Cricetulus griseus: one gene and its partner. The protein of the gene in region 1 binds, or shares a complex with, the protein of each later gene. Links are inferred from orthologs where the notes say so. Each region holds a gene or a part of one and is shown on either strand. Other genes may lie near its edges. The genes, in order: Csf3r and Csf3.

Region 1 (3,909 bases):
TCCTTCTTTAGGGCTCACCCCGATAGCCACTGCTTCTGAGAGCTTGTTCCTCAAGCACAGTGTCAAAGGCTTTAATCTTAACTGTCTCACTTTGTCATTACAGCCCTGCTGAGACATGAGTGTTACTGTTAATCGCCTTTTTGCAAATGGAGAAACTGAGGCTCAGAAAAGTGAAGAAACTCATCCAAGTTCACCAGGCAGGTAAGTGTCGGAGCCAAGGTCAGAATTGGGCTCCCGGCCTCTTCATATACAGTAGGCATGGGCTCCACCAGGCCCATGCTCCTACTCACCTAGGACCACCCTCGGGGCTTCTGGAGAGGATGTACTGATGCCAAACATGCCCATCTCAGGCATCTGCATTCAGATGCCTGCTCTTGACATAAGCCCGTAGGAAGATAAGGTGGTACCTGGAATAGGCTAGGCCTAGGTACAACCACAAATGAGTAGAGGCAGAGCAGCAAGGTCGTTCCCCCTCAGTGTGGACACGTGTGTACATGTGGTGACAGGTGTGCTGATATGAGGTTACTTTCTTATTTAAGGTCTACTATTGCTGGGAGAAAACATCCTGGTCGAAAGCAACTTGGAGAAGGAAGGGTTTATTTCAGCTTACACTTCCAGGCAACAGTCCTTCATTGAGAGAAATCAGGGCAGGGACTTGAGGCGGGCACCAAAACAGAAGCCATGGTGGAGTACTCTTACTGGCTGGCTCCCCACAGTTTGCTCAGCCTGCCTTCTGATAGCACCAGGACCACCAGTCCAGGGGTGGCACAGGCCACAGAGATCTGAGTCCTCCCACATGGAGCATTAATCAAGGCTTGCCCACAGGCTAATCTGGTGGGGGAATTTTCTCAACTGAGGGTCCCTCTTCCTAAATGATGCTAGCTTGTATTAAGTTAACACAAAACTAGCCAGTATGAGGATTAGTAGACAGAGATGTCCTGGGCGAGAGGGAAGAAAAGCTTGTGTTCCTAGTGGCTCTGATCTGGGAGGCAGGTTTCACCTTGTGATATAGTGAGGGAGGGAGAGAGAGAGAGAGAGAGAGAGAGAGAGAGAGAGAGAGAAGAGGGAGGGAGGGTGTGTCATTTCCTTAATGCTGAGCTGGGAGAAAGCTCTGGCTGCAAAGTTTGCTCTTAACCATCTCTCACTGCCTCCAGGTAAGCAGCAAGTTGGCACAATGGTGGGACTGGGAGCCTGCACCCTGACCGGAGCTGCCTTGATCCTCTTGCTACTCCCTAAAAGTAAGTGGGGGCTATGGAGGAGTATTAAAAGGGAGGTACAGGTGGCCATGATGCTGTGTGCCAGACTCTGGGAGTATGGTCTCTACATCACAGAACTTAGAAGCAGCAGATCAGTCACGATTCTAATTACAAAGGGATGGAAGAGCTCCAGGATACAGTCTGGCTCACCAAGATACGCACATGCTAACGTGGTGAGAGAGGGTCAGAAGAGAACCATGAAGAGGGAAACAACAGGAGCAAAGATCCACAGATACGAGGTTTCCTGTTGTTTCTTCAGGAAGAGACCCAATGTCTGGGAACAGAAGCCATAGTCTGAGCTGAAACAGTGAGATTGAGGCCAGGGGCTATGTAAAGTGTGTGGAACTTTGTCCTAACCTTGACTGAGGGTAATGACCGGCCACCTATGGTTCTGCACAATTATGTCAGGACGTCTGATCCTCTCAGCTGTGCGGTGGTGGTGCATGCCTTTAATCCCAGCACCCAGGAGGCTAAGGCAAGTGGATCTCCATGAGTTCAAGGCCAGTCTGGTCTACAGAGTGAGTTCCAGGACAGCAGGGTTACACAGTGAAACCCTGTTTCAAAAAAAAAAAAATCTCCCAGGGACACAAAAGTAGTGCTAGATAAGGAAGGAAAACAAGCCTGATGCTGACTCCCCATAGACAGGCATTGAGACTTACTGCCAGTAATTAGGTCCTTAATAATGCCAGCCACCCAGCCACAGGAGGCTGGGATATGGTGGAGTTCCAACAGCAGCCCACAGAACAGAGGAAATTCTTTTAGAATGGAGGGGTCTCTGACTAAAGCAGATTAGTGGTAGTGCTGACTAGGATATAAGGCTATAAAGTAGGAAGCTAACCCTAGTCTCATCCTACCTGATGGCTGTCACATGCCACGATCTTGGCAGCTTTGGGAAGGGACTGGATGGATGTAAGGCATGACTGATGCACCCTGCAGGGACAGCTCTGAGATCTAACTGGTAGCAACTGCTTTTTATCTCCATTCACAGACAAAAGTAGTAAGACACAGGGAGTCCCACTTACATGTACTAGGGTCACTAATAATAAGTAGGACACGCTGTCTAGCCCTTGTGTCTAAGCTCATCAACCCGTGAGCTTAGCCACATGTGCTTGAAGTGTCACAATCAAGATGGGCTCTTACAATCAGATCTGAACTTGGCAAGGATTGCTGTGGCCTTAGGGGGTTCTTATCACTCTGATTGTGGCTTTTGCTGCCCAGTCCCTCCCTAGTGAGGAATTGGAGTTGTCTAAGACTGCATTCATAACTGCATTCAGGGAAGGCAAATGTTCACACAGAGGGGAGCACATATATCATGGGGAAGGTGTTTACGTCACAGGAAGTGTTTATACCCCAGGGCATGTTCACATCATAGAAAGCATTCACAGCATGGGACACATTCACAAGATAGGAAGTGTTCATAGCCCAGGGTGTAGTCACACAATAGGAAGGGTTTATACTTCTGGGAGTGTTCACACCTCAGGGGGCGTTCACACTGTAAAGAGGGTTCACACCAAGGGAAGTGACCAACACAAAGCAGGATCTGCTTTTCTCTGCAGAGCCCGTCGGTAACCATTTACAGACACATGGCTGTCTATCTCTCCCTATAATGCATCTTGCAGGCCCCATACTTACTCTTCACGTTTAGTCCCCATGTCCTTCCAGACGGGACAGTGAAAAGGCAAAAGAGGCCTCTGAGGTTAGGAGCTCACAGGTCTTCACATGGCCCATGTTGGCCTGGCAGAGGAGTCCTCCAAGGCCCACCCTCTACCAATCCAGGTCTGGAGAGCTGTGGGCACATCAGGATCTCAGTCCCCGTTGTCCGCCTGGGGGACCCCGTCATAGCCTCCTGTACCATCAGCCCAAACTGCAGCAAACTAGACCAAGAGTCACAGATCCTATGGAGACTGCAAGATGGACCAAACCAGCCTGGAGACAGACAGCGGCGTCTTCCTGATGGGAGCCAGGAATCCACAATCACTCTGCCTCATGTGAATCACACCAAGGCCTTTCTCTCCTGCTTAGTGCCTTGGGCCAACAGCTTCCAGGTCCTGGATCAAGCTGAGCTTCAAGCAGGCTGTAAGTCCCTCCCACCATCCACCCATCTGCTTCCAATGCCCCTCTGCCTGAACCAGGGAAAGCAATAACCTCTTTGTGAGCAGGACAGAGGGTGTGGTTCTTCCTATCAGGTGTTATTATTTAACCCATTCTCCAGATTAGGAAACTGACATCTAGAGAGGAAAAGGAAAAGGAACTCCACAGTGTTCCTTGTAGAAATGCTTCTCTGCATGAAGCTCGGGTCCTTAAGAGGAGCTCCCTTCCAGCTGCTCCTAAGCCCAGTCTCAGTTTTCTTTCCAAATTCAACAGGATGGAGTTTGTGTCAAGACGAGGTATAAGGAGCAAATAAGAACAAAGGCATAATGGCACATTTATAATCCCTGCAGAGGAAGGTGGATCTCTGTGATTTTTTTTTTTTTGAGACAGGGTTTCTCTGTGTAGCTCTGGATGTCCTGGAACTCATTCTGTAGACCAGGCTGGCCTCGAACTCACAGAGATCCACCTGCCTCTGCTTTCCAGGACCTTGGTGATGTTGAGGACAGCTAGATCTACATAGAGAGTTCCAGGGCCACTAGGGCTACAAAGTGAGACCTTGTCC
Region 2 (3,909 bases), on another chromosome or scaffold:
CACAGTGACCCTTTGTAACCACCACAGAGCTGGGTGCCTGGAGCAGCCTCAGGAATCAATACTTGGTATTTACCTATCTCCCTCCAGCCCTGGGGACAGGAGGACACAAGAGCTTGTCCTCACTGCTACAAGCAGGAGAACAAAACTCAAGAGTGGAGAGAAGGGCCTAGAAGCTTGGAGCTCCGTTTTCTCTTCTCCGTCTTTAAATAGTAGGTTTAAATAAGCATAAATATTAAATAGAGATAAATAAACCTGCTGCAAATGGCTTTGCTCAGGCCTAGACCAGATGGTTCAGGGTGCAATGAGCTGTCTCCAGGAAGCTCTGCAGGTGGGAAGCGGCTAGGACACCTCCCGCCCGGCGCTGGAAGGCAGAGGTGAAGGTTGGCAGGGTGCTCTGGGTGGGCTGCACAGTGGGAGCCACCCCCAGGGATTCCATCTGTAGGGAGGAGATGAAGTCAGGGATCAGTCCTTACTGTAGGTAGGGAGTTGATAAGCTGGTCTGTGGGACTTGCTATCAACAGCAATTCCTCTCACCCCAAGGAAGCAGAGGGATAGAGGTCGGGCTCCCCACACAACAGGCCACTGAGAGCCTCCAGGGTGCCCAGGGGTGCTGGTGTGGCCCTACCCCCACTCTTACCCCCTGCCCCTCCAGATGAAGCTCACCTGCTGCCAGATGGTGGTGGCAAAGTTGGCAACATCCAGCTGTAGCATGTCCACGGTGGGGGCCAGCTCAGGGGAAATGCCTGTTAGGGCCTGCAGGAGGCCTTGGTAGAGGAAGAGTCCACTGTGGAGTTGGCTCAGGCACTTTGTCTGGGGACAGCAGGGACAGTAAGGACAGTTAGGCTATGCGATGGGATACTCCTTCTCTCCAGGAGCCCTAATACCAGGGCTTCTCATTCTCCTCCTGGTCCCCCTTGCCTTCCAAAGACTCACCAGTTGCAGGGCCTGGATGGAGCAGCGGCTGAGAGGAGCCTGCGGGATGCCCAGAGAGTGGCCGAGCAGCACCAGCTCCTCCGGGTGGCACAGCTTGTAAGTAGCACACTGTAGACAGAGGGACGCTGAGGGGCACTCACCTGGGCCAGGCTGATTCTCCCTCCCAAGTCTCCCCATCGTCCACCTGACTCCCAGTGACCCTGCTACTGTCCCAACCAGAGGGTCCCACTGCTGCTTCTCTTCATTTTCTTCCATGTCCCCTTCATGTCCCATGCTCCCTTCCTCAGGGTTTTGTGAGTATTTCGGGGATGGAATCCAGGCCCTTGTGCACACTAGGCAAACATTGCCCTTGCTCTTTCTCCCGAGCCTGCTCCCTTCCCATTTGCCCTCCTGTGTCCGCCCCCCCCCCCACACACACACAGGCTTTTTTCCTCCACACCTGCCAAGCCTAACTCACCAACTGCTCCAGCAGCTCCGAGTTCCTGGTCTGAATCTTCCTCACTTGCTCCAAGGACTTCAGCAGGAAGCTCCGGGGCCAAGGCAGGGGTGGTGGCCGAGAGGTGACAGAGACCAGGGGAATGGCCTCTTGTCCTGTCCAGAGTGCACTGTGCCACAGCAGCAGCTGTAAGGCTGGCAGCAGATGTACAGCTTTGAGACACTTGCCACCCCAGCCTCCCTCCCTCCCTTCCACGCCCAGGGCAGGTAATCAGGGCCGCTCGCTCACCCATCAGCTTCCTGCGGCTCTGGGCAGAAGGTTGAGCCATGGATTGATTCTGGGTGATTCTGGGTGATCTGAGCTTCAGCTCTGGGTTCTGCCAGGGCCTTGCTCCAGGGGGCTTTTATACATAACCCCATCAAGGCCTGGGAGGAAATTACCTGTGGCTGGGGCAACTCAGGCTTAGTAATAACTTCCCAGGATTTATGCAAATTTTCTTCTCTCACCCAGGACAATGCAGGGGGTTGGGAAAAGGCTGTTTTGCGAAAGTTTTGTGAAATCGGGGAATCTCTGCTCCTTCCTTGACGTCTTGTCCCCCCCAAACTCTCTTCCTCCAGCCACACCCAGGCCTGAATTACTCCAGGGTGTTTAATCTGAGTAGTCCAACGAGGTTGAAGTGCTGGCGAAGCCCTGGAGGCTACAGAGGGAACTCAGTCAGACCTTGGGAAGAATCAGGCCCCAGGTCAAAGTTGCTCTTATCTCTCTACCCTCTGCCAGACATGCAGAGGTAGCCAGTACCCTAACCCTCTACCCTTCTCCTGTGATTCTTAAAATACCTTTACCTGGGGACAAACATTCTGAGAAAGAAAGAAGAGCCCATTGTTCTCATTTTGTACCCATGAGCTCCCAGGTGGCTGCTTACTTCAGTGCCAGGAGGAGCCCTGGACAGCACCCTAGGGTATTGTTTTCTGTGTCCACTCCACATTTGGATAAAAACAAAATGATCCAGCATTCAGGCTGTCCTGTCCCAGGCTGATTATCTGGGAACTCCCCAATACCCACCACGATGACTCATTCATTTAAACCCCTGGATCCCGGCAGAGCAGCCAAAGGAAACCGGATGTCTGCCTTGAATGAATCAAGACCCTTTGGGGCTCTTTGCCCACCTGACTTTGCCTGTCTGTTTCCCTGCATTACTCTCCTGGCATAGTACCCAACCATAGCAGAGTCTGGGGGATCTGGAGTCGGGGCCTGGGACATGCAGGGTCCCGGAAGATCGATACACCATAGAAGCAAGTGATCTGGCTTGAGTGGACGCAGGCTGGAACGAGAAAGGAGAAGATGCATCTCCAATCCTAGAACTCTGTCCTGGTGTTAGCTCTGGAAGAGACTTTGAGTTTTCAACCCTGTGAACTGGGCCACGGAGGGAAATGCCTTGCCCAGTCATGAGTAGTAGAGTTGGAGGGACATCCCAGCCTCTGTTTCAGTTCCAACAGGGTGTTAACTGCCTAAAGAGGAGTAGGGTCCACTTGTTTGACTGATCAAATCTCAAGCTATCACTTTCTGAGCTAGTTCACTACCACCTTCTGGCCCAAGGAACAGACATCTCTGGATGCTGAGGCATAGCTGACTGGGCGGGGCCATTCCTGGGGCTAGGGTGCCCTCTGGTGGCCACAGTCGTGGACATCATCTACCTATCTTTGCTTGGAAGGACAGGGCAAGAGATTTCCATTCTTTTCTCTTTTTTTTTTTTTGGTTTTTCAAGACAGGGTTTCTGTGTGTAGCTCTGGAGCCTGTCCTGGCACTCGCTCAGTGGTTCTCAACCTGTGGGTTGTGATCCCCAAGGGCTGCATGCTTAATACCCTGCATAGCAGATATTTACATTACAATTCATAACAATAGCAAAATTACAGTTATGAATTTTAAAATTCATAATTTTATGGAATGGAACAACTTTATGGTTGGAGGGTCAACACAACATGAAGAAATTGCTACTGCTGCTAGTTGCTAACCAGAGCTCAGTGGTTAAGACTCTGTTGCTAGCCGGGCGGTGGTGGCACACGCCTTTAATTCAAGCACTCGGGAGGCAGAGGCAGGCGGATCTCTGTGAGTTCGAGACCAGCCTGGTCTACAAGAGCTAGTTCCAGTACAGCCTCCAAAGCTACAGAGAAACCCTGTCTCAAAAAACCAAAAAAAAAAAAAAAAAAAAAAAAAAAAGACAAGACTCTGTCGCTGAAGACAGCACAGGTTCTGGTCACAAGACACAGAAGTCAAGCTGGAACTGACCTGATGGCTTCCTCCTTGCTGCTTAGAGCTCACAATGCATGAAGGAGCTGTGCAGGTTGCTGAGAGAACTGTCATCCACTGTCTTACTCGGCTATGATCTCTGAATGTTGTACTACCAACTGGCCAGGCAAAGCGTGAACCTAGGGCCTCCAGCATGCAATAGTGGCGAGTCTGCAAGAGCAACCAGTGGCTTCCTGATTGGGTTTGAGGCTGGCTCTGCAGGGGGGAATCCAGGCTAGTGCTGGAATCATGGC

The links.
Region 2: the proteins of Csf3r (region 1) and Csf3 are in contact, whole or in part, in a crystal structure (PDB 2D9Q), measured with the Homo sapiens proteins. The link is inferred for Cricetulus griseus from reciprocal best matches to the Homo sapiens genes CSF3R and CSF3. Residues at the interface, in NP_000751.1 of Homo sapiens: Arg164, Arg190, Lys191, Leu193, Leu194, Leu195, Tyr196, Gln197, Asp220, Met222, His261, Ile262, Asn263, Arg311, Pro313, Leu314; in NP_000750.1 of Homo sapiens: Ser42, Leu45, Lys46, Glu49, Gln50, Arg52, Lys53, Leu141, Asp142, Asp145, Thr148, Thr149, Gln152.

Annotation. Positions count from the first base shown.
Region 1 is NC_048595.1:27,024,540-27,028,448, reverse strand, and holds the start of Csf3r (granulocyte colony-stimulating factor receptor), read left to right. Parts: upstream 1-1,174; coding exon 1,175-1,238; intron 1,239-3,032; coding exon 3,033-3,332; intron 3,333-3,909. UniProt on the Homo sapiens protein: Receptor for granulocyte colony-stimulating factor (CSF3), essential for granulocytic maturation. Plays a crucial role in the proliferation, differentiation and survival of cells along the neutrophilic lineage.
Region 2 is NC_048600.1:111,783,389-111,787,297, reverse strand, and holds the start of Csf3 (granulocyte colony-stimulating factor), read right to left. Parts: upstream 2,958-3,909; 5' UTR 2,292-2,957; exon of another isoform or gene 2,067-2,291; 5' UTR 1,698-2,066; coding exon 1,658-1,697; intron 1,582-1,657; coding exon 1,391-1,581; intron 1,042-1,390; coding exon 934-1,041; intron 811-933; coding exon 664-810; intron 437-663; coding exon 278-436; 3' UTR 1-277. UniProt on the Homo sapiens protein: Granulocyte/macrophage colony-stimulating factors are cytokines that act in hematopoiesis by controlling the production, differentiation, and function of 2 related white cell populations of the blood, the granulocytes and the monocytes-macrophages.